Linked DNA regions of Lytechinus pictus. The protein of the gene in region 2 binds, or shares a complex with, the protein of the main gene of each other region. Links are inferred from orthologs where the notes say so. Each region holds a gene or a part of one and is shown on either strand. Other genes may lie near its edges.

What was found.
Region 1: DNA polymerase alpha subunit B-like (region 2) and DNA primase small subunit-like share a complex: the UniProt entries of both Homo sapiens proteins name them as parts of the alpha DNA polymerase complex. The link is inferred for Lytechinus pictus from reciprocal best matches to the Homo sapiens genes POLA2 and PRIM1.

The regions. Positions count from the first base shown.
Region 1 is NC_087245.1:19,760,426-19,771,542, forward strand, and holds the start of DNA primase small subunit-like, read right to left. Parts: upstream 5,029-11,117; 5' UTR 5,014-5,028; coding exon 4,837-5,013; intron 4,193-4,836; coding exon 4,086-4,192; intron 3,440-4,085; coding exon 3,366-3,439; intron 2,368-3,365; coding exon 2,231-2,367; intron 1,681-2,230; coding exon 1,622-1,680; intron 1-1,621. UniProt on the Homo sapiens protein: Catalytic subunit of the DNA primase complex and component of the DNA polymerase alpha complex (also known as the alpha DNA polymerase-primase complex - primosome/replisome) which play an essential role in the initiation of DNA synthesis.
Region 2 is NC_087251.1:49,042,061-49,053,190, forward strand, and holds the start of DNA polymerase alpha subunit B-like, read right to left. Parts: upstream 4,677-11,130; 5' UTR 3,669-4,676; coding exon 3,572-3,668; intron 3,056-3,571; coding exon 2,931-3,055; intron 155-2,930; coding exon 78-154; intron 1-77. Other genes in the region: NF-kappa-B inhibitor epsilon-like, read right to left, coding at 10,015-10,409. UniProt on the Homo sapiens protein: Accessory subunit of the DNA polymerase alpha complex (also known as the alpha DNA polymerase-primase complex) which plays an essential role in the initiation of DNA synthesis.

The DNA.
Region 1 (11,117 bases), on a different chromosome or scaffold from region 2:
GTTGCTCTTTCAAAGGAGCGCCAGTGCAGCGCAGTCAGAGAAAGGAATGTTTTACGACTGGGAGAGGGGGAGAGAGAGAGAGAGAGGGGAGGGGATGTGTTCGGAAAATGTAAACAGAAGCCAGAATACATTGCGTAATCATGTCTGGCAAGGAGCGAGTGATAGGCCACGTGGCAGAGAGTAGGGCGTGTTGAGCCTGTTTCCACGGCAACGCTCGCTGTTTGAGCTCGAGGGATTTGCGGTGCACGGCAGTGAGACAGTTCTTTGCTTATTGGATTACCAAATTAGGTCATGACCTGATAGAGCGTGCCGTCAGGTCAGAGTGTTAGCTGCCCTTTTTTTAAGACATGCTAAGCTGGTCTAGTCTAGTGGCTAACTAACCCTCCTTTTCGTTATTTCATACATTTTCTGATGAAAACTGAAGCCCCCGCACCCTGAATGCCCAGGTGGGTGTTTCATAAAGCTGTTCTTAAGTTAAGAGCGACTGGTGATCCTTACATATGGCGAATGGTATATTCATTAGCGATGGTTTTGCGCGTAAGAAAGGATCACCAGTCGTTCTTAAAGTCGCTCTTAACTTACGAACAGCTTTATGAAACGGCCCCCAGATCTCTTAATTTTTCCGGTGTACAATTGATTGAAAGTCTTTAAGATTTCAGAAGATGTAAAATTGGATTACAATGGATTGCAAGTTTCTTGCAAATACGGTACCTCTCTCTTGACCGATTGATCGAGAGAGATAAAAAATAAAAATAAATAAAAGCATAGCTAAGCTAGCCAAGCACTAGTAACACGAGCTGTTTACGTAAGTTCATGGGCGCCCTCGTGCACGTTTGTATTAGTTTACAAAGAATTGGAAGAAATACAAAAACAGAAGAAAATAACATGGAGATATACAAGAAAAAATTGACTGTATCATTATCCTGGTATTTCTTTCAATTTTGATTACTTTATAGACGAGGTCCCATAGAATTGAATATTGTAATTATGATTGTTGTGAGTTGCCGTGTCGACCGACCTGGACTGAAAAACAACATTGCCGATCTTTGCTGGGCAGCCTGGGCTAGCTAGCGCGCGCTGAGCTGCGGCTCCAATCAGAGGAGTTAATTGCGTAATGCTTTCAATTTCGAGATCAGAGCGGACCCATTTCGTGGTACAAAGTCACCCCAAAAAACATTTTCTCTCCGGAATAAAAGGCGAATTTGCAAATTGTAAGTTTGTAAGCTCTAGGCTAGGTTAGTAGTTGGCATATATTTTCCTGATTTGAGCCTGTATAAGTGTAGGGATTGCAGAAATAATATTTTTCATTTTTCAAAGATAAATTGACTTGCGGGTTAAAACCCGACGGGTCAGCGGGTACCGCTTGCAAATTATTGGATTATACGGGACTGTACGGTTCGGGTTTTCACTTGCGGGTTACAACATTAGCAGATATTATGTATGTAACTAGGCTTATTTCAACAAGTACCAAGAAAAGTTCAATTATAAAAGCACACTTTTGAAAAGGGCCCTAAATTAATGCTTGAATGAAGTCTGATAATAGAAGAAATCTACTTAGTCCACTGTTTTGTAACATGGTACAACTGAAACCACCTTTGTGAATATGAGACTAGAAACTCACTCTACAGATGGATGTAGCTGCTCTGGAAGACTGACTTTCTTCACCTGATTTTCTCCTCCCTGAACAAATAAACAGAAAATCAACTTTGTCCATAACTCAGCTCTAAATCTCCAATATTCTAATTTACAAATTGTCATTATCAAGCTGTTTCTAATCTAACTTCAAAGATCTTATACTCTGAATTGTTACCCTTTTAACCGTCAATACATTGAGCGGATGTGAGCTTCTAATTCAAATGATGGCCCTTATAATGCATCACATATTTAACCTACAAAACCATATAAAATCTGTATTATTCCAAATGAAGAATAAGTAAAAAAAGAAATGAACATTACTGTGGAGATAAATAGTTACAATACAAACATGATGGGCATCACATGAGTATCGACAGTTCTCGCTTAGAGAATAGTGATATATTATCACATGAAAAAAAAAAATGTGGTGTCATGGCTGGTCTGCATAATAAATTCCTCACAGAATTCATACTAAAATAATTGGAACCCTCCTACAGTCAGAATATTCATATACTATATAAAGCAATTAGATACTTATAATATCAACATTACCATATGCAAATTTATTCTCTATTTATAGGTAGCTAATGATTACCTTGACAATGCTGAGATACTCTGCGATTGCTGACCGTGCATTCTGAGATAGTTTTCTAGCAGCCTCATCGCACACCCAACAATGAACACCACGTCGCCCTGAGTAGACCCACAAACGATGCTCAAAACCAAAGTCATCTGCACAAATGATCAATTCAAAAGTTTTTGCTTGAATTTATCAGCTCATAATGTTATATTGTTGAATTATTCAAGGGCACAGCCATATTTCATCTGTTTGTAAATTTTATTAATTTAGTCATTTGTCAAATTCTTCAGTGTAGCACAATTTCTTGTCCAACCGTAGACAAATAAAATAGTCAATTAAGAATTAAAAACAGTTTGGATATGTACACAATCAAGTCAAATTACTTTTTTTTTCTTTTACTTTATTATTTATAATTATATTGCAATGAATCAATTGAAATGATAATTGCTGATGGATCCTTGTTACATTTGTTTCGCCAAATTAACTGTTGCCAGTATCAGTTGTATACTTTTAATTCATGTTTCTTTTAATATTCTTATACTGACCTGGATGGAGGTAAAGGGGTGAGGGAAGGAAGACCTGTGGGTCGTGGTAATTTAGTTAACCTTTTCCAAACCCAGGCAGCCCCTTTATCTCTATTCCAGGTCCTTTGTATTATGTCACGTATTTTATGTAATTTGTATTGTACTATAATTCATGTATTTTGAAATGCCGAATAAATAATAATAATAATAAATTGTAATCACTCCACCGGTCTGTCGGAGTTATAGTGCAATCTTGGGGTGAGAAATGGTAGTAAACACATACAGCATCATAATAGGCCGATATATTAAAGCAAGAATTTTGACAAGTACTGCATGGTACTCTTATGTCCAAAGTCCCACTTGGTTGATGATATTACATGGAACTTAAGAAATTTAGTTCTTAAACTGATAAAATGTATTTCATCAGTTCATCGATCTACCAGTCTGCAGAAAATGGCACTGGTGACTGGCAACATCAGTCGGTTCAACCCGGCCCTAGTTTCTTAATGCTCGATGCTTGTTCCAAGAATTTGGGATTTATTTCACTCAAAATATTAATGTTAGCTGTCATATTCTTGTGAAATATACATCCACATTGTATTTCAAAATATCTATAGAGGTCATACCATAGAGGGCACTGTCCACAATCTTTATTGCAATCGTCATCAGGGGCCAACATTTGGAGCATATATCTGCACCTCTGTAATGAGTAGACAATAATATTGAAATAAAGATAAAACAGTTGTAAAAGTTATTATATTCTTTGATACATATCAAATCTTCTCATCAAGCAACTAAAAGATAAATACCGGTATCTCCTACGTGCTTATGCCATTATGCCTCTGCAAATTTTCGTATACATCTGTATGTCAAATGATCATTGTAAACTTTTGACCTGAACATAGCAAAATAATCACTTATAGTGTTGCAAACTTGTTGTAATCATTTCACGATACTCTTTCCTCTTTTCCTATCATTTTATACCAACAACATTCATATAAATTCTTATAGAGAACTAGGATGCAAAAAGGGGAGCCGCCCACGAAACTAAAAGAAGGAATTTATTTACCGCCATTTTTGTAGAAATAATCTATTCTGTGGTGCACTAGAATTATCATCCCTGGTTTACCTCGAGCTGCCACTTCCAGGGTCAGTGCCAGATACCCATTCACGTCATCACGGTTGAGTGCAACACAATGTAAATAACAACACACCATGGTTGGGATTTGAATCCACAACCCTCTGTCTGAAAGTCACAACCACCAGACCACAACAAGCCTATGGGAGATAAATCAAAATATGCCCCTTATTTCAGGAGCAATCACTATACATTTTATTTCACTTACTGGCAACAACTCCTGACATCATCATAATCCGTCATATCAATATCAAAGACAAGCTCTTTCTCCTGGGCTTGAAATGCAGCCGCCTTTAACGTCCGATGATCTTTGGGCTAAAAAGTTCAGAAATGAAGGATATAAAGAGAGTATAATTCAAGGAATTAAAAAGAGGTCTCATCTGCAATCTTACCCCCCCCCTTATCAAATCTATTTTCCTGCCAATCCTGTCATGAAATAATCAGATGAATTGTTTTCCCTCAACACAATTATAGAATTCATAAACTGGTAGGTTGTGAAAAATGTTAGTGGTACAGTGGATTTGAAATAAAAAAGCAAGTCGAACATTGTGAAATAATGAGAACTAGTTGATAATCGAGTATGCTGAAAATCACCAAACAAATGATCTTCAATTACAGCTGAATATGCTGACATGTATGTTTCCACTAAATGTATTTCTGGTGGTTAAAAGTTGCAGTAAAATTTTTATCATTCCACAATCAAAATGATTTGCATATTTCTTTATATTATTTATTCAATATCATGCATTTACATTTGTTTAATGCCACTGAACTTCTGTAGTTTTGTATTAAATTCAATAAAAATCCCATGGAAGCACATTGTATGATACATGCACATTGAGATAATGGTATTCAAAATACTAGATTTATCTTCTATATCTTGATTAATTTTCACCACCACAAACATCTTTCTTTGTGAAAAGGTTAAACAGGTTTTAAAATGGCCCTACGTAAAATACCTTGTGCGTGAATACAGCGCCGATATCAATCTTGTATGGACATCTTTTCTGTATCTCTTTCTCCAATTCATTCTGGTCACTGAACGATTGGTAGCGGATGTAGATGTCGTTCTCAAGAGTGAAGGAAAACTCACGATTCAAAAAGTAGCTCTTTGGAACTGTATGGACAAATTGCATTAAGATTTAGGTTGAAACATTGAAAATGCAAAAGAGGAGGGAAATAATGCAATTGTCAATGGTCCGATCAGCTTAACAAACAAAGCATTGCATGGTTTAAATTGTCTGGCTGGCAATGGGCCAAACAATTGGACATAATAAATTTGTGTTTGCTAACTAATCTTATTTTTTCTTTTTAGCTGCATGTTCAACGATTCTTTCCAATATTATGCTCGTTCGTATCAAGTTCTATCGATGCGCCGTCGATGTTCGTCGACGGCTCTAACATTATACAGTAAACCTCGCGGACGGTAACTTGAGAACTAGTAGTCGACGATCACCCACAATCTGTAGAGGCGCACGGCCCAGATGGGAGACTCTCTCCAATATGGAAGACAATCTCCCATGTTGGAGACTTGCTTTGCAAAAGGACAAAAGAAACAACACCAACAAAAGCATGATTTTTTCCACCCAAAATTTTGTCTCACTGAGGTCAGAAGCCCATTTGTTTTGTGTGTGAATGACAACAAAAATCCTTATCAAAACAAAAGTAGACGGTGAATTTTTAAAGTAGACGTTGAAAAGGGGTAATTTTTCATGAGGAATCTGCTTATCACATTTTTATTTGCCGCCAAGGTAATCCTTTTGCAGCAAATGTAAACAAAGGAAGTTGGTCTCCCAAACTGGAGACTGTCTCTGAAATTGGATACCCAAATTCTTTACGAAAGTCTCTGATATTGGAGTAATCTCCCACATGGGAGACAGTCTCCCATATTAGCCTTGCGCCTCTACTGACCACCCATGGGTGCATCTCTGCCGCCGTGTACAGGAAAATTGAGGCACGGCGCATTCAACAATTCAACAAACTCCTGCAAATCTAATAAGAGGATTTACAGAATGAAATCCTCCTACGAAACTTACCAAACGATGTGAAGTCAATTCCTCCTAATATGGTGATTATCCCTCAAAAAGCATCATTTAAGCGTTAATTTTTCTTCTCATTGACCACAAAATACAAAGCAACCTTGCGAGTTGTCAAATTTTTCGTCTAATGAGCGAAAGAGGGCGCGCGATTTATCTTCGTATCAAAGACACTACAAGGGAAAGACTAGACACAAAAACTATCTTACACGTAAATCGATGCAAAGCGTTACGCGAAGTTGGCAAAGTGTCTGAGCTTTTTACTGTAAAGACTTTGGTGGAACGTTAATTGACAAACGAACGGTAGCACTTGCGAGGCTTTGTTCAAGGTACGTAGAATTTTCTATATTTTTTGTTTAATTTGTCATCGCTTTGAATATTTTCCAAAACGTATTATCGTCAGCAAAAATAATAAAAAAGTATGTTTTTTAAGTTATTGCATTTATTGGTGTCTCTATTATATCAAACAATCATTGGAATTGCGCATACCATGAATAAAAAATCTATTTAAAAAATACCGTCAAGCTGAATTAAGGTTGTGAATTGTATTAGCGCCACCAACGACCTTCCTTTTATTTCCGTCAAAGAGACATGCAAAGCAACTTTCCAGGCCGAGGTAAGCAATTTTGCTCTTTTTTTGCATGCTTTTTCCATGAATAAAATTTGTAAAATTGAAAATGGAACGCTTTTCACCAGAAAAAGCCCTGGTGAGTAGCGGAATGAGTTTCGGCTAACATTATTCGCGTTATGAAGCGATGTTAACCGGCAACTCTAAAATCCATACTGTAAACACGTACGTGGTGACGGTGGTGCGAGGTTCATATAAGTACATACTATAAACCTCGCAATACGTGTGAGTGTCTACTGACATTAGTCAACACACCCCACCAGTTCAACATTCGATCGAAGGAGCGGATGAGATTGAAATTCGGCAAATCAGGCCCATATTTCCATCAGAAAATATATCAATTGTTAATGCAAAACTGTTATATGATATTTTAAGCATTTTCTGTCATTTTAGAGATAAATAAGGTAAAACTAAAAATTAAACTATCAAGTAGGCCCCTAAACTAAAAAAGTAAAACTAAAAAGTTGGATTTTTTCGCCTTGTCTTTGCAATCTTGTTCTATGGGCATAATCGTGATATAGTCCCCAAATCCAAAAATGGGGATTATTAGAATCACACCTACCAGAACGCATGAAAATCACTTCCTTTCTCCAGAACACAGTCCCCAACTCTCTCACAGCTCGAGAACTTGCGAAATGATAACACACACAAATGAAACACACACTTGGATTCTCTCCCTATTATATACTTGTGATACAGTCCCCACTCTACGGGAAATCAAGTTCACTTTGCACGCAGTGGGGATAGCTCCAACAGTATATATACTCGTGATACCGTCCCCTCACAACATAAAATCGTGCTCGTTCGACAAGGGGATGGGGACAGTTTCCCAGTGCAACGTGACAAGGAGGACTCATTCAAAACCTTCGGGAATTATTATTATTATTGTCATTATCATATTATATTATCATTATTATCATTTTATCATTATATTATTATTGTTATTTAATCATAATTATAATTATTATTGTTATTATCATTATTAATATTATTGTTATTTAATCATAATTATCATTATTATTATTGCTATTATCATTATTATTATTATTATTAATATCATTATTATTTTTACTATCATCATCATATATCATTATTTTTTTATTATTTTTGTTGTTATTATTATTATTATAATGATAATGATAATATCATAAATTATTATATTATCATTATTATTATTATTCTTTATCATTGAAAATGTGCCCCTTCCATCCATTCTGTTCCTTGTATTTCATTTAATTCCTTCAAATGAAATCACTGTAGACTCATAATAACGTTTGGGTATTAATTATTATCATAATTATTATCATCATTGGCATCATTTTCATTTTTGTTGTCGTTATTATTGAAAGAGTCACCCCAAAACATTAAAGTAATCAATACAAATATGTGACGGAAATGAAAATAAAGTAATGATAACAACAATAGTATAATGATGGTGATGATGATAATAAAGATTAATAACAATAATGATGTTGATAATAATTATGATAAAGGTTAATATAATGTTAATAATAGAGAATAATAACAATAATAATAATTATTGTAAAATAATCAATAAAAGATAAATAATGTTAACAAAAAATAAGGATAACAATATTAGGTAAATAATAAATAAATACCATAAAAAATAATGACAATAATGATGATAATAATTACGATAATACCCAAAAGTTATGAATGAGTCTATACAGTGATTTAATTTGAAGGAATTAAATGAAATACAAGGAACGGACTGGATTGAAGGGGCACATTTCCAATGATAAAGAATAATAATGATAATAATAATATAATAATTTATTATACTATTATCACTGTTATGATGATAATAATAACAACAACAATAAAGAATAATATTTATTATGATGATAGTAATAATAATAAAATAAATAATAATAATGATAATTATGATTAAATAACAATAATAATAATTATGATAAAATAATAATAATGATAAAATGATAATATAATATGATGATGACAATAATAATAATAATAATTCCCGAAGGTTTTGAATGAGTCTTCCTTGTCACGTTGCACTGGGAAACTGTCCCCATCCCCTTGTCGAACGAGCACGATTTTATGTTGTGAGGGGACGGTATCACGAGTATATACTGTTGGAGCTATCCCCACTGCGTGCAAAGTGAACTGTGTATCCCATAGCGCGGGGACTGTATCACGAGTATACTATACTGTTGAAACTGTCCCCACCGCCGTGAAAATCAAACTTGTTTTCCCGCAGAGTGGGGACTGTATCACGAGTATATAATAGGGAGAGAACCAAAGTGTAAGTGTGTTTCATTTGTGTGTGTTATCATTTCGCAAGTTCTCGAGCTGTGCGAATCTAATAATCCCCATTTTTGGATTTGGGGACGGCCAAATTCGCTATTGTGCCCAAGCGCCATTAAAACTGCTCAGCCCAGTGAAAATTCTTATCGCTAGACGTGCGTAAGAGCATGTGCGACCGGTGTCACACATGACCGCACAATAACAAAGCTCAGTCAGCGGGATATCGGCGTTCAGTGAAGTGGCGTGTTAATGGGTATTTCAGCTGTGCGAGAGAGGGGCGGGGATTAGGGATTGGGGGGGGGTGAAGGGGCACTAAAATATATGAAATCGGCGGGTTTTCAATAAAATACTATGTGCATCGTATTTTCGTTTTCTTTTTGTGTTTTCTGTATGATACATGGTTGGTAGATTTATTCCTCATTCATTCATTCCATCCAATTTATTCATCATACTGTGCATTTCATTTCATATTATATTATATTACGTAACACTGTTTTACTAACCTTATTTTTTCTGTCCATGATGGGGATCGAACTCGAACCTTCTGATCTGCAGTCCAGCATCGTAGTCAGCATGCCACATGAGATGAGCTGACAGCCGAAACTGGTTTAGCGCTCAAGTCGTACGGAGGTTTCCCCGGCGGCAGTTATAGCAGGCCAGGGAATCAACGATCAGTGATTTAATTCATTAGAAAATATATATATTGGTACCAATAATTCCAAACAGGATTTTGTTATTTTTTTCACTTCGTTTATATTATCGCTATGTATTTTAACACGATGTGCGTTTACTATTGAGTATATTGAGTCACCTGAAATAACACCCGGAACATTTCTCTGTTTAGGCAACAGGGGGCCTAAACATGGAACAAAAAACTCACGCAACTAGTTTGCACTTGATGTTCGTAGTCGGCGTGTAGGCCTAAAACTTTATTTTAACATATATATAGCTTCCTTTTTTTCATTCTAAACTCCCAAGTTATCCCCTCTACAGCAAACCTCATGTCGATATCGGTCCGCCAATATACGATCTTCTCGGATATTTTCAAATAAATGTGGCATTTTGGTAGGCACGGCAAAATTGAAAAAAAAAGTATGCACAAGAAATTGTAAATAATTTCATATACTCACTTTTGCGTTATCCTTCTTGGTTATATATAAATGCCCCGTTATATTGAATTTTAACCTCCTTCACTCCTTCCGCCAAAATATTCCAAGTCAACAAATTTCCTCATTTTTTTTTCGCCCGGCAAGCTCATCAATCATCTCTCTCAAACCTTTCTTTCTTCACTCTAATCCTCTCAAACCATCCTCACTCTAATCCTCTGCGAAAAGTTGCGCCCTCCATGTCAATCGTGCCCCACTGACATCAAGATGTGTCTTGCCGCATCTCGCACATAATGCATAAACTTTTATGCATGATTTTATATATTCATGAACTTTCACTTCATGCTGTATTTTTATGTTGTTTCCCAATTTTCCTCCTTCGCAATATTGCTTTATTCCGTAATTGTTAAACTCTATATAGGGCATTTTATTATGTCCAACATTTTTGCGTATCTTTTCTACTCTTCCATCGTCACCCTATCATAAATGGATTTTGTCAATGTTAGCTTATTTTTATTTTCCTCAAGAAAGAGCAAGACGAACTTTTAATGGTACAGATGTATATTTCAAAGGTGATTAGCTGCAAATATACGGAATAATGGAAAAACATATGTTAAAACGCAATTTGAATTTTTTGATGGGCAAATTGATTAAGGTGCTAGTATAGTGACAAACTTCACTAAATACGGGATAAAGCTTATAGAGAAAACTTGGTGAGCATAGGGACGAATCAACCGAGATTCTAATAATTACTATTGACCGGAGGGCGGGAAAAGTGGTGTTCTGGGTTTGAAATGTCTGGCTGGGCGGGGGGTAGAGCGAAGGAAAAGTATATAAGGCAACAAAAATGGGAGGCATATTCGGGTGTTAGTATAAAATCTTCAACAAAATACGTAAAAACCGATATAGTAAAGTTGAAACGCAATAATATATATATTTTTTTTTGGGGGGGGGGCATAATTATTTAGGTGCTAATAAAGAGTGACAATTAAGCTTCACCAAAATACGGAATAAAGTAATAAAGAAAAGTTTGTGGGCATAAAGTACTAAGTGATGATCGAGCCAAGATTCTTAATTCTCTATTGCTTTAGTCCGTATCAATTTGATGCAGTATAGAGTGACTGCATAAAAAATATACAGAATAAAGCAATACAGAAATGTTGGCATATTAAGGTGCTGGTATA
Region 2 (11,130 bases):
TACTGTATCTTAGTTTTGTTCTTGATATCTGAAATATTGATAACAAAAATCAGACAGACATTATTTAAGAAGGATACATTGAGAATGATGTTTTCCTGGCAGCTTGCTTCTGGCTTGAAGGGGTCTTGACTTTAGAGCTCTTTTTGGTCAGTGCCTGGAGGTAGAACAAAAGTCATAATACCGGTAATAATATTCTTATCTACCCAGGGTAACTACTCTCAGCTTTAAGCTGTGCTTCCAGCGGGACCGGCATAACATAACATGATATTATCATTATAAACAACTTTTATAAAAAGATAATATTGGAAAAATTTTGGAAAGACCAATCCCAAAATTTTTGAAGAAAAAAGAGAAAACAAACATTCCATACAATCTTATGCAAGCAATTTTTTTTTTTTGGGGGGGGGGGCTACTTTTCACAACTTACTGCCTAAAATCTACAACACTGGATATTGCTTTCACATCATGATGAACTGGAATCTACAACATTGGATATTGCTTTCACATCGTGATGAACTGGAATCTACAACATTGGATATTGCTTTCACATCGAGATGAACTGGAATCTACAACATTGGATATTGCTTTCACATCATGATGAACTGAAATCAACAACACTGGATATTGCTTTCACATCGTGATGAACTGGAATCTACAACATTGGATATTGCTTTCACATCATGATGAACTGGAATCTACAACATTGAATATTGCTTTCACATCGTGATGAACTGGAATCTACAACATTGGATATTGCTTTCACATCGAGATGAACTGGAATGTCCAGGGCTCCTTGCTTTGTTTCCAGCGCTCTTTTGAACATTTCTTGGGCTAAATCACCCCAAGTCCCCTTGTAATTCTTCCCCAGCCCTTATGCATACATTTTCGCTTTCTTTTTTCAACCTGTATAATGGATGAACATCAGTTTAAGGAGAAAGGGTTATAAATCTCCAAGTCCATTGAATACCATGGCTGTCCTGTGGATTCCTTGTTGACTGGCCTTGATGCCCCTCTCATGTGCCTTGGAGATTTTTGTGCTCTTGTTTTTGTTTCTCCCATTTGTGCTGTAACATATAAATACGTGCCCAATGGAAAAGTGGCCTTGCCTTAAACATATCAAATGTAACTTTTAAGGTATGTATTTTTATCTTTACAATGTATTAATTTCACAATTATATAGGCCTACCTCAATCATAATTATCATACTGATAATTTCTCTGATTTTCCACATTTAAAACATGTGGAACAAGCAAGAATGTTCTCTTGAGGTTCTTACAAGATCAGATGATCATAATTATCAAAACTATCTATCTGAGTCCGGTTTGCAGATGAAAAAAAGTACACCACCAAATTGATATGAGTTTGAATTAATTTTTTTAATTGTTTCATTCATGATTCATTGCCTTAATTTTTTTAGTGATGAACGAGGTGTTTCTCACGTAACAAATAGCCAGGGATTTTCACTTTCCCTCGGCTTCGTTATAAGGTACCACATCCTTGCATCTCATTGACTAAGAGCAAATTAAGTCACGGACAAAATTTTTCATGAAATGCTCCCCTGGGCTCAGGACTCATCCGTGTAATACTAGGCAGACATGGGTATTCTCCAAAATGGTGGTATGGGGTCGCACCAGCACTCCAAATAAATCTGGGAAAAATGAATTATGCACTTACCTCGATTATATGGATGAAGGTCTATTGTGACACAGAATAAGGACATCAAGGAACAAACTGGACCCTCAAAAAAAGGAAAAGTAGCGTTCGTTCTCAGTATCGATCGGCCATTTTGTTTTCAATTTTGAAAGAACGAACGTGACAGAACTTTTCCTTTTTTTGAGGGTCCAGTTTGTGCATCGATGTCAGGATTCTGTGTCACGATAGACCTTCATCCATATAATCGAGGTAAGTGCATTAATTATTTTTTCCCCTTTTATTTGGAGTGCTATTGCGACCCCATTCTATCCCATTTTGGAGAGTACCCGTTGCCTAATATTACACAGACGAGTCCTGGGCTCCCTGGGTTAGCTCCCCTGGAGATGTCAATAGAAACTATTCAGTTAACAGTTTATACATTTACCATCTGGTCGTTGATAATAGAAACGTTCCCAGGGCCCTGTTGCATAAAAAGTTTCTATTAAGATAACTTTGCCATCCAATGGTAACTACCATGGTAACGATGATCAACAACCAATCGGAATCAAGTATTCCATACAAGTTACCATTGCATGGCAAAGTCACCAAAATGGAAACTTTTATGCAACGGTTCCCTGATCTAGTGCGGGACTTTTTTAACTGAATTCCTTTTGTACCTTCTTTATTTCATTCATTCATTCATTTATTTCGGTTTATTGTACAAAATACTTCCTTGTTAAAACAGTCGGTAGACTGATACAAACAAAAATTACAATGTAAACATAAATTTCATAGAACTTTACATTTATAAGTGAAATGAAATAGTCAAATAATATAAAGTAACAATTAATTAATTGATGTTGGTATATTGCACTTACAAGGTAATTATAGATGAGAGCACGTTACAAAATAAATTCCAAAGATATTTATAAATAAAAGCTATAATATGGTAATGCTAACTGAAATACATGCACTAAATTCAATAAACAAATCTATAAGTTGTGAAGAAGGTTGAGATTGGGATATGAAATTAAATCGCAAAGTGGAAGGTTCATATTGAGAAATAAATATGGAATTATGTTTTTAAAATATAATTTTAAGGCTAGTGTAAGACATCTGACATACGGAAAATAAGGCATAGAGCACTGTAAATTGTTTTATTATAGATTATATTATTATCACTGTATATAAAAATATTGTCGCTACATGAGTAAAAATGCAAAACTGAAAAGTAGAGTAGAAAAACGTTAAGAACAAGTAGACTAGCCACACCCTAAATGCATTTCAGCAATCCGTACCTCTCTCTCAAGTTGCTCTAGTGTATCGATGTTAATTGCCAGTCCACTGTGAGTTGTAGAAAATGCAATCCACTCGGCCACTGCATCCTCTGCTGTCAGGCGGTATAATAAACATAATTCTTTCACTGTAACAAAAAGAAAGAAGAAAACAGACATAAAATGTCATCATAACAGCCATTTTTTACATTCAATTAGCAACATAATTATTTTGGCGAGGGGAAATTCATAGATCTAGAATACGTAACAATCTACTTTTTTTTTCTCTGCAAAATGAAAATTTGTTAGATGTCTACTTTTACAACATACTACATAGTCTACATTATGCATGTTAAGCCATCATCTTGAAATTAGTGCTCCTTCTACATCATGCATTTCATAAAATAAGTTTCATCTAACGTTAAAAGAACATGCTTCAAACACAAGAACAAGACACAGATTTATAAATTTATGATTTTTTAATTTCTTGAAAATTTTGCATCTGGATTGAACAACCATGACAACAATGCAATTCTCATTTATTATATAATCTAGTTAATACATGTAAATTCGATAACAATTCATTTGCACATTAATGATCGAGTGGTGGAATTACATGCCTAATCGTTCAAAGGAATGTAAGTTAGATTTCTAACAAAACTCACACTTGTCAACAATGTCAGGATCATTGGTGTCCAACGTTACTCCAAACGTTTCAAACTGTTCAGAGAGGTCATCTTCACTGACACTGACAGAAGCCATGATGGACTATCGAGACCAAGTTACTTGAGTCTATGAATTAAAATTTTGACTGTTTCACAGATTCAAAGTTCAACTTAAAATTTGGCCAAGATCTCACTACAATTATAGAGAGAGAGAGAGTTGAGTTGAACTTGAAGGATGACTTAGGGCAGGCCTAGTAATTACTAAATACTAGTATCGATCTCCCGTAGGTAGTAGAACAGGTTCAAATATTTGCAGCACGAGCCACGAGTTTAATCTCAATTCAGTCAAGCCAAGGGCAACTTCTTAATTTAACTCCAGTAGTCTGCGGAGTATGCCAGTGAATACAGCAAACAAAGACGAATTAATACCAAAAATTTCGAGCTAAAATTACAACCCCTGCAAAACTGAACAGGTAGACTGAATACGTATCACTATCAAGCATCGGCGAATACGATCGATTCAGCGGACCAGCGTACAGTGCACACTAGGCGCTAGGCCAGCGCAGCCCGGCCCCGTGAGCTGCTGCAAAGATGACACTGTCTGCGATCTTCGCGCTTGTTAGATTTCCCGCGTTGAGTTTCAAGTTGATCTACTTCCGGTACCGGTACCGAACATAAGAATAAAAATTAAAAATTAAAAAATTAAAAAAAATGAAAAGGCAATGCAGTCAACGTTGCTGCCATTTTTGCCCGGCATTTTTGTGTGGTAGTGAGGTTCGGTGGATGCGGTAGAGGCTGTGGTGGGTGGTGGTGGTGCTGGTGGTGGTGTGGAGGTGGTCGCGGTGGTGATGATGGTAGAGGCGGTGTGGTGGTATATAGCGTATATATATAGACATGGTGGTGGTCGGTGGGGTGGTGGTGGTGGGGTGGTGGTGGTGGTGGTGTGGTGGTGGGGTGGTGGTGGTGATGGTGTGGTGGCCGGTGGTGGTGGTATAGAGGTGGTGGCGGTCGGTGGTGATGATGATGGTAGAGGCCGTGGTGGGTGGTACTGGTATAGCGTATATAGACAGGGTGGGGTGGTGCTGGTGCTGGTGATGGCGGCAGTGGTGTTTATTGTTGTTTTTGTTAGCTCCATTCCCGCGAGTTCCACTTTCACTTTATGACGTAATCATCACTTCTACTTCAAGGAGACTTGTCTGGGAGATTAATTCTGTTTTGTTTTTATTATATTTTTCTTGGGGGTGTATGTTTCTCCATAAGAGCCAATTTGCTTTTTTTAGAGTCAGACCACAGGAGTGTTTCGTGAATCTTGTCAGTATAATTTCCCACTGACATAATATTCTATGTCAGTCAGATGCAAATATTTTATTTTAGTACCTTATATAGCACTCAGTGAAAATTTGAACTGACTAAAAGTTTTATGAAATGCATTCATTCATTTACCTAGGGTAGCCTTGACGGTATTGAACAGTACGTTACGTATCAAAGACTGAAAATAATATAATTTAAACAGATAAAATAAAATCAAGCAAATTAAAACACGGGAGGAATCATCAAAATCGGACAAGGAATAAGAAAAATATGATATTTTAAATTTGTGCACTATTTCGATGAAACAGTTCTTTGCATGTCTTAATCATGAATATGCAACTATGCAAGGCAAGCTGATGATCCCCAGAGGCGGAGCTAGCGCAATCACCCACACCAGAAAGAAAGAAAAGGTGAACAATTGGTTGATAAGTTAATAGAAAGGTGTGTAGAACCACTATTCCTGGTATAATTTAACATTCTTATGTAGGAATATGAATCATCGATTTCATTTTCTGGCCCTACTGATGGAATTATCTGTCAATTGATATTCGAAACATCCCAGACGCAAAATATTTAGCAAATTGTTAAAAATAATGCTGCTCGAGGAATTTGACATTTGTATATTAAGCTGCCAAAAATAAATCTCCGATCTTATCGGAGGAAGAACACAGAGGAGAGAGAGTATAGCGATTTTGTGATCTGTTCAGATGTATTTTTTTGTATTCAGTGTAAATACAACCGTTAAAGAGGTCTGCAGTTATAAGAAGACTTAATAATTAAGTTAAAGTACAAGCACTGGCGTACAAATAGAGAGGAATTGGGGGCCATGGACCCCCAAAATTTTCACGACCAAGAAAAAAAAAGAGAAAAGGAAAGAAAATTGATGAGAGAAGAGTGAAATATATCATTTTCTAAATGTTATGTCAAAACCTTTAACAAAAATAAAGTTTTTAATTAAAAAAATGTCGGAATTTTTGCTCACTCGCTTCGCTCGCAATTTTCCGTTGTGCCAAATCAGGCCCCTTAAAATATTTGGCTCATTTTGCCACTGTGTACAAGTATTTTTATTTAGGTTAAGGTTTTGTTAATAAACCTCGGTTAGAATTTTGCTATTTATGGTTCTTGTTCATGTGTGATGTACTGTTAAATGCAAATATGATACCGTGAGATTTGGTAATGAAGTTTAGTATGCCATCTTCTTTTTTAAAACGATGACACTTCATTCTGAGATGATGTTAAGGAAACTGAAAAAGTTCAATTTACCTTTGAAGGATTTGGTGACAATATATGGGTTATATATGACCAATTTTAGAATATTGTGCTCCAGTTTTCCATAGCAGTCTTACAGCAAAACAAAATAATACTATTGAAAGAATACAACGTAGAGTATGTAAAATTATCTTAGGACATAATTACATCACATACACAAATGCATGTCAGGTATGTAATTTACCAACACTTGAGGAGAGAAGACTGACACTGTGTAAAAAGTTTGCAAAATCACTTTCAACTCATCATTTGTGTAAGACATGGCTACCTCGGAAAAAACATACAAACATATCTCTTCGTCGTACAAACTACTATCAACAATTTCCAATAAGAACAACAAGATTTAAAAACAGTCAATTGCCTTTTTTGGTTGACATATATACTCAACAAAGGATGAGTGTGTCGACTAGGAAAGGCAATGCAAAATGGTCATCCCCACCCCACCATACAATTATTTTTGTCATTTAAATAAGTGTCAGTCTCCTCTCCTTCAAGTCTGCCATTATCATATTGTATTCATTCATTCATTCATTCATTCATTGCCTTTTATGCTTTATTTAAATTGTATTAACTTTTGAATGTATAGCCTTTTTAATGTATTTTACTGTGGTTTTTACTATGTATTTAATAATGTGCCAACACCAACTTGTAAACATGATATTTCCAGCTCTTGCTGTTTTTTCATGTATGATTGTTAACATGTTTGATTATCAATAAAGACCATTTTTGAATTGAATTGAATTGAAAATGAGATATTGGAGCTCGGTTTAGTATAACCTTATTTCTTTTTAACATACTTTATTTCTGTTAATATTTTGTTTTTCTCAAGCATCGTTGATGCATTTATGTAACGGAATCCAATAGTTTTATCGAAGTAGTATGCAGCGTGGTTACTACCGATTTTTATTTTATTTTATTTTTTTACCTTTTTTTTGTTATTCTTTTTTTTTTTAGTTTGTGTTTTTTTTTTTTTTGGGGGGGGGGTATATAGCAAAGAAGTGTGAAATTTTCATTGCAATTTGTAAATATTTTGCTTTGCTGTTTGTGGATAGGCCGGGCGGTACATGCCCCCCCCCCCCCGCAATACTTGGTGTAATGAGTAACAATGTGCAATGTACTAGTACAATTACGACATCCAAAATTAAATTGTTTGATAAACTAAGACTGCATGCAAAAAAATGGATCACATCTAGTAAAACTCACTAAATTTTGTCTAATTTATAGATAAGCTATATCCGAGTTTCATCTAATATCCTCTTGGTCTAACATCACTTTAAAATAGTTAGATCGGCCTCCCAACTCCTCGGACGAACAATGAAAATGAAATAAATTTTAATTTGTCATAATAAAAATCAATAAGTGTAGACGAATTGGTCATTGGACCAACTGGGCATTAGACAAAGTAAGTATTGGACCAAGTATTATAGCTGTTTAGTCCAATATGAAACACGGAGTTATTTACTAGTACTTTATTTAATACTCTGATAAAACATAAACAGCGCCCCCTTTTCCCATGAACAATATAGTACTTGCTGACAAGCACGTAATTGTTGTTGCTGAAAATGCCAAAAGGTATGATAGTACGGAGATTTTTCTTCAAAAAAGGAAGAAAAGAATAAGAAAGATCAAGAGAATTAAAAATAAATAAAATAAATTAAGGATTTTTTTCTATTTCGTCTCACTTCAAAATGTCTCATGCTATTGCCCCCCCCCCCTCAAATCCATTCATCATTTTCTGTTCCTTTATCTTAACTTCCTTTCTCTCTCTTTTGATAGTGTCTAGCTTTGGTGAATTTGTAACAAGAAATATGTATTGAGGGTCAAAGAAATCTTAGTTCCCTGCTTACCTTTAAAATGAATTAGGTTGTATTTTGTTTTATTTTTTAAGGAAATATATCATCATCATATAATCATTTTTTTCCTCCAAATTCTCTCTTTCACCCTCTCTCCTTCACCCCCCCCCTCTCTCTCTCTCTCCTTATTAACTATTTCTATCAATGTTCTGTCTCTTAAGTTACTGCTATATATCCATTACACACTAACACACTTCACATCAAATAACATTGGTATCACAAAATAACTCAAATTTAAATTCTTCGTCTCTTTTTATTCATAACTTCTTTTACTGGTGGCAAAAACAAAACAAAATAATAATAATATTCAGGATAAATAATCAACAAAACAGTGATAAAATTTTGAATAATTCAAACACTCTATAGATAAAATATAGAGTGGATACATTTATATAAAAGGTGAATTATTTCAAAATCCTTCCCTTCAATATACTAATCTTTGAGGATAATTATTGAGAATAATTAGAGTGCAATACTATTTTTGTTTCTTCAAGAATAAAACCAACCCTACATCCTTTATTCAGGTGAAGTCAAAAAGTGCAGTCAACTGTGCATAAGATGACCTCCCAGTCTTCCATGAGAAAAATATTACATTGAAACATATTCCAGATGAGCAGCTAGCTTCATAAAACCTGTTATTACAAGAATATTGCAACGATAGTTGAAATCAACTGATATCATTCAATTTGGCTGGCTGACAATAACATGTTTTTTTTAACTATTCTGCATTTTTTACATTTATAACTCTTTATCAAGCAGAAACCAGAATTATACAAGCATTTGTTATTTACCTCTTTGAAGTTAAATGTTCCTCCCACCCCCAGTTGAAAAGGTTTTCAATGGTCCTGAGATACATATATTTGCCTTTGGCAGATACGTCTGTGCCTCAATTTTCCACAATAATTAATAACAACAAAGTAATTGAGAGACACATACTTCATGAACATTTCTAATACAATACATACTATGAAATGTCTTTGCCTTTGATAAAACCTGGATATGGACAAGATTATTAATTACAGGTTTTAGAAGATACTGAATACATGCCTGAAATGCAATTTATTTTACTGCAAATAAATGCATTTTTATATATATATGTACACTATATACATTATTTACATGATTGACAAGAACACGATCAAATATTTACTCTTGCTCATTGGTTTCGTTTCTTTTGGTAGTTTTTCTTTTTTGCTCAGTGTTTATGTGTTGCTTGAGAAGTCTGCTATTTAAAAAAAAAAATGAAAAAAAAATTATATACAAGACATTTTTTTTTGAAAGATTACATTTGTACCCAAACATATATTACAAGATTACAGAAAATATCTGAATTCCAATAAATGTTTTTTCCATGCATATGACTGAAACGTTATTCTTTTTTCACACACATTTCCAAAGACTAATAATACTTCTCTCAGTTTCAACATTCACACATCATAGCAATGTGATATACATGTACATTTACCAATTCCTTCATATTCTGACCACATCACAATCTCAATTCTCCTACGTACAAGCACAACAGAACTGCAATTCTTATCCATCAAGTGTTGAAGCATTGCATAATACCTATTTAACTGCAACAAAACATGTCTGTACAACAAGTTGTCTAATACATGTACATTTTACTGAGCAAAGGCATTACACTAACATTACTTCAACATCAAGACAATACAATAAGAAATTATCAGAATATGTCATCCATCCTTTTACGATAAAATCAAAAGTTTGGATGTCTTCCTTCTTTCTTCTTTGTCTTCCTTTTTTCTTCTTCCTGCCGTTTCGCTGCAATCCCCTGGACTTAAAGCCCTTTCCAGTTTCTTCACTTAACATCAACATACCACAGCTATCTCACTTCATGTCATGTAACATGTATCCATGATAAATGGTCCGGTTGCACGCTCTTTCTTCATAAAGGAGACGCTGTCCTGCAACATCTCCCCTTGCGGAGACAGTTTGTTCATTTGCCTTCATCATCACTCTACCCATGAAAGGACAAAGAGAATGTCTTCAGTAGAAATAATCTGTAGTGTCATATTCATGTCCTTGTGAGAGCAGTGACTTGAGCGATGGGATGTTGGTCAACTCATACGCGCACTGCCCCTCAAAGTTCTGGACCTGGGTGTCTGCCCGCGCCCCATGGAGCAGGCATGCAATGTCCTCATGGCCCCTCCCTGCTGCCAGGTGGAGGGGTGTGCAGAGGTCGAAGGTCACCGCATCAACATCAGCGTGCAGTTCGCAGAGGAGACACTGGACCAAGTGGAAGTCGTTCATTTCGACTGCGTAGTGGAGACTGGTGCGACCGCTCTTTCCGTCCGGCTCGTTCACGTTGGCACCAATGGCAACCAGATACGTCAAGAGACCAATGTCGCGTCTTAGTGTTGCTAGATGCACACAGGTTAGACCTAGATGAAAAAGAAAAATACACGTTAAAAGCATATCAGATTGAAAAAAATCAATTGTTCTCAATAAATAATATCAATGGTAAAATTATTTAGGCCAAATATCAAGAGCTGGTTTCTATAAATATAAAAAGATAAAATAAACCACAGTTGTCACTATCAATTAGTATATTCAAATATAACACCCACTTATGCAATATACATATAAATTGTCCTTCAAGCAAAAACAACATAATTTAATTAATGATGAAAATATATAGAAAATGAAATACAAGATTAACACATCCTCTATACCATTTCCTGGAATTGGTTGAAAAGGAAATAGACTAGTAAGAATTCCATCCCGCTCACTCAGAATCAAAACCTACCATTATGCCAACACAACGGTTGGGAAAAACCAAAGGGGAATCCCCACATGCAAATCACCTCCCACTCTGGCCTGACCATATTTGGTAAAGTGATGAATAATGCATCATCCATGTTTGAATAAAGATTCTTGTTTGCCTAGGTTTTAATGGAGACAAAGAGTTCAAGGTTCAGCCCAACCCCAATACACCCACTACCAATTGACAAAAAGCACAGTCATGCTTTGAGCAAGCACGAAATGGTACTGTGCACATACACAAAGTCACACACTGTGGTATTTCTAAGCAATAGGGTATTTCCAATGGGATTTTTTCTTCACATTTTCAATGGAATTTTGTTTAACTATTTTTTTTGGGGG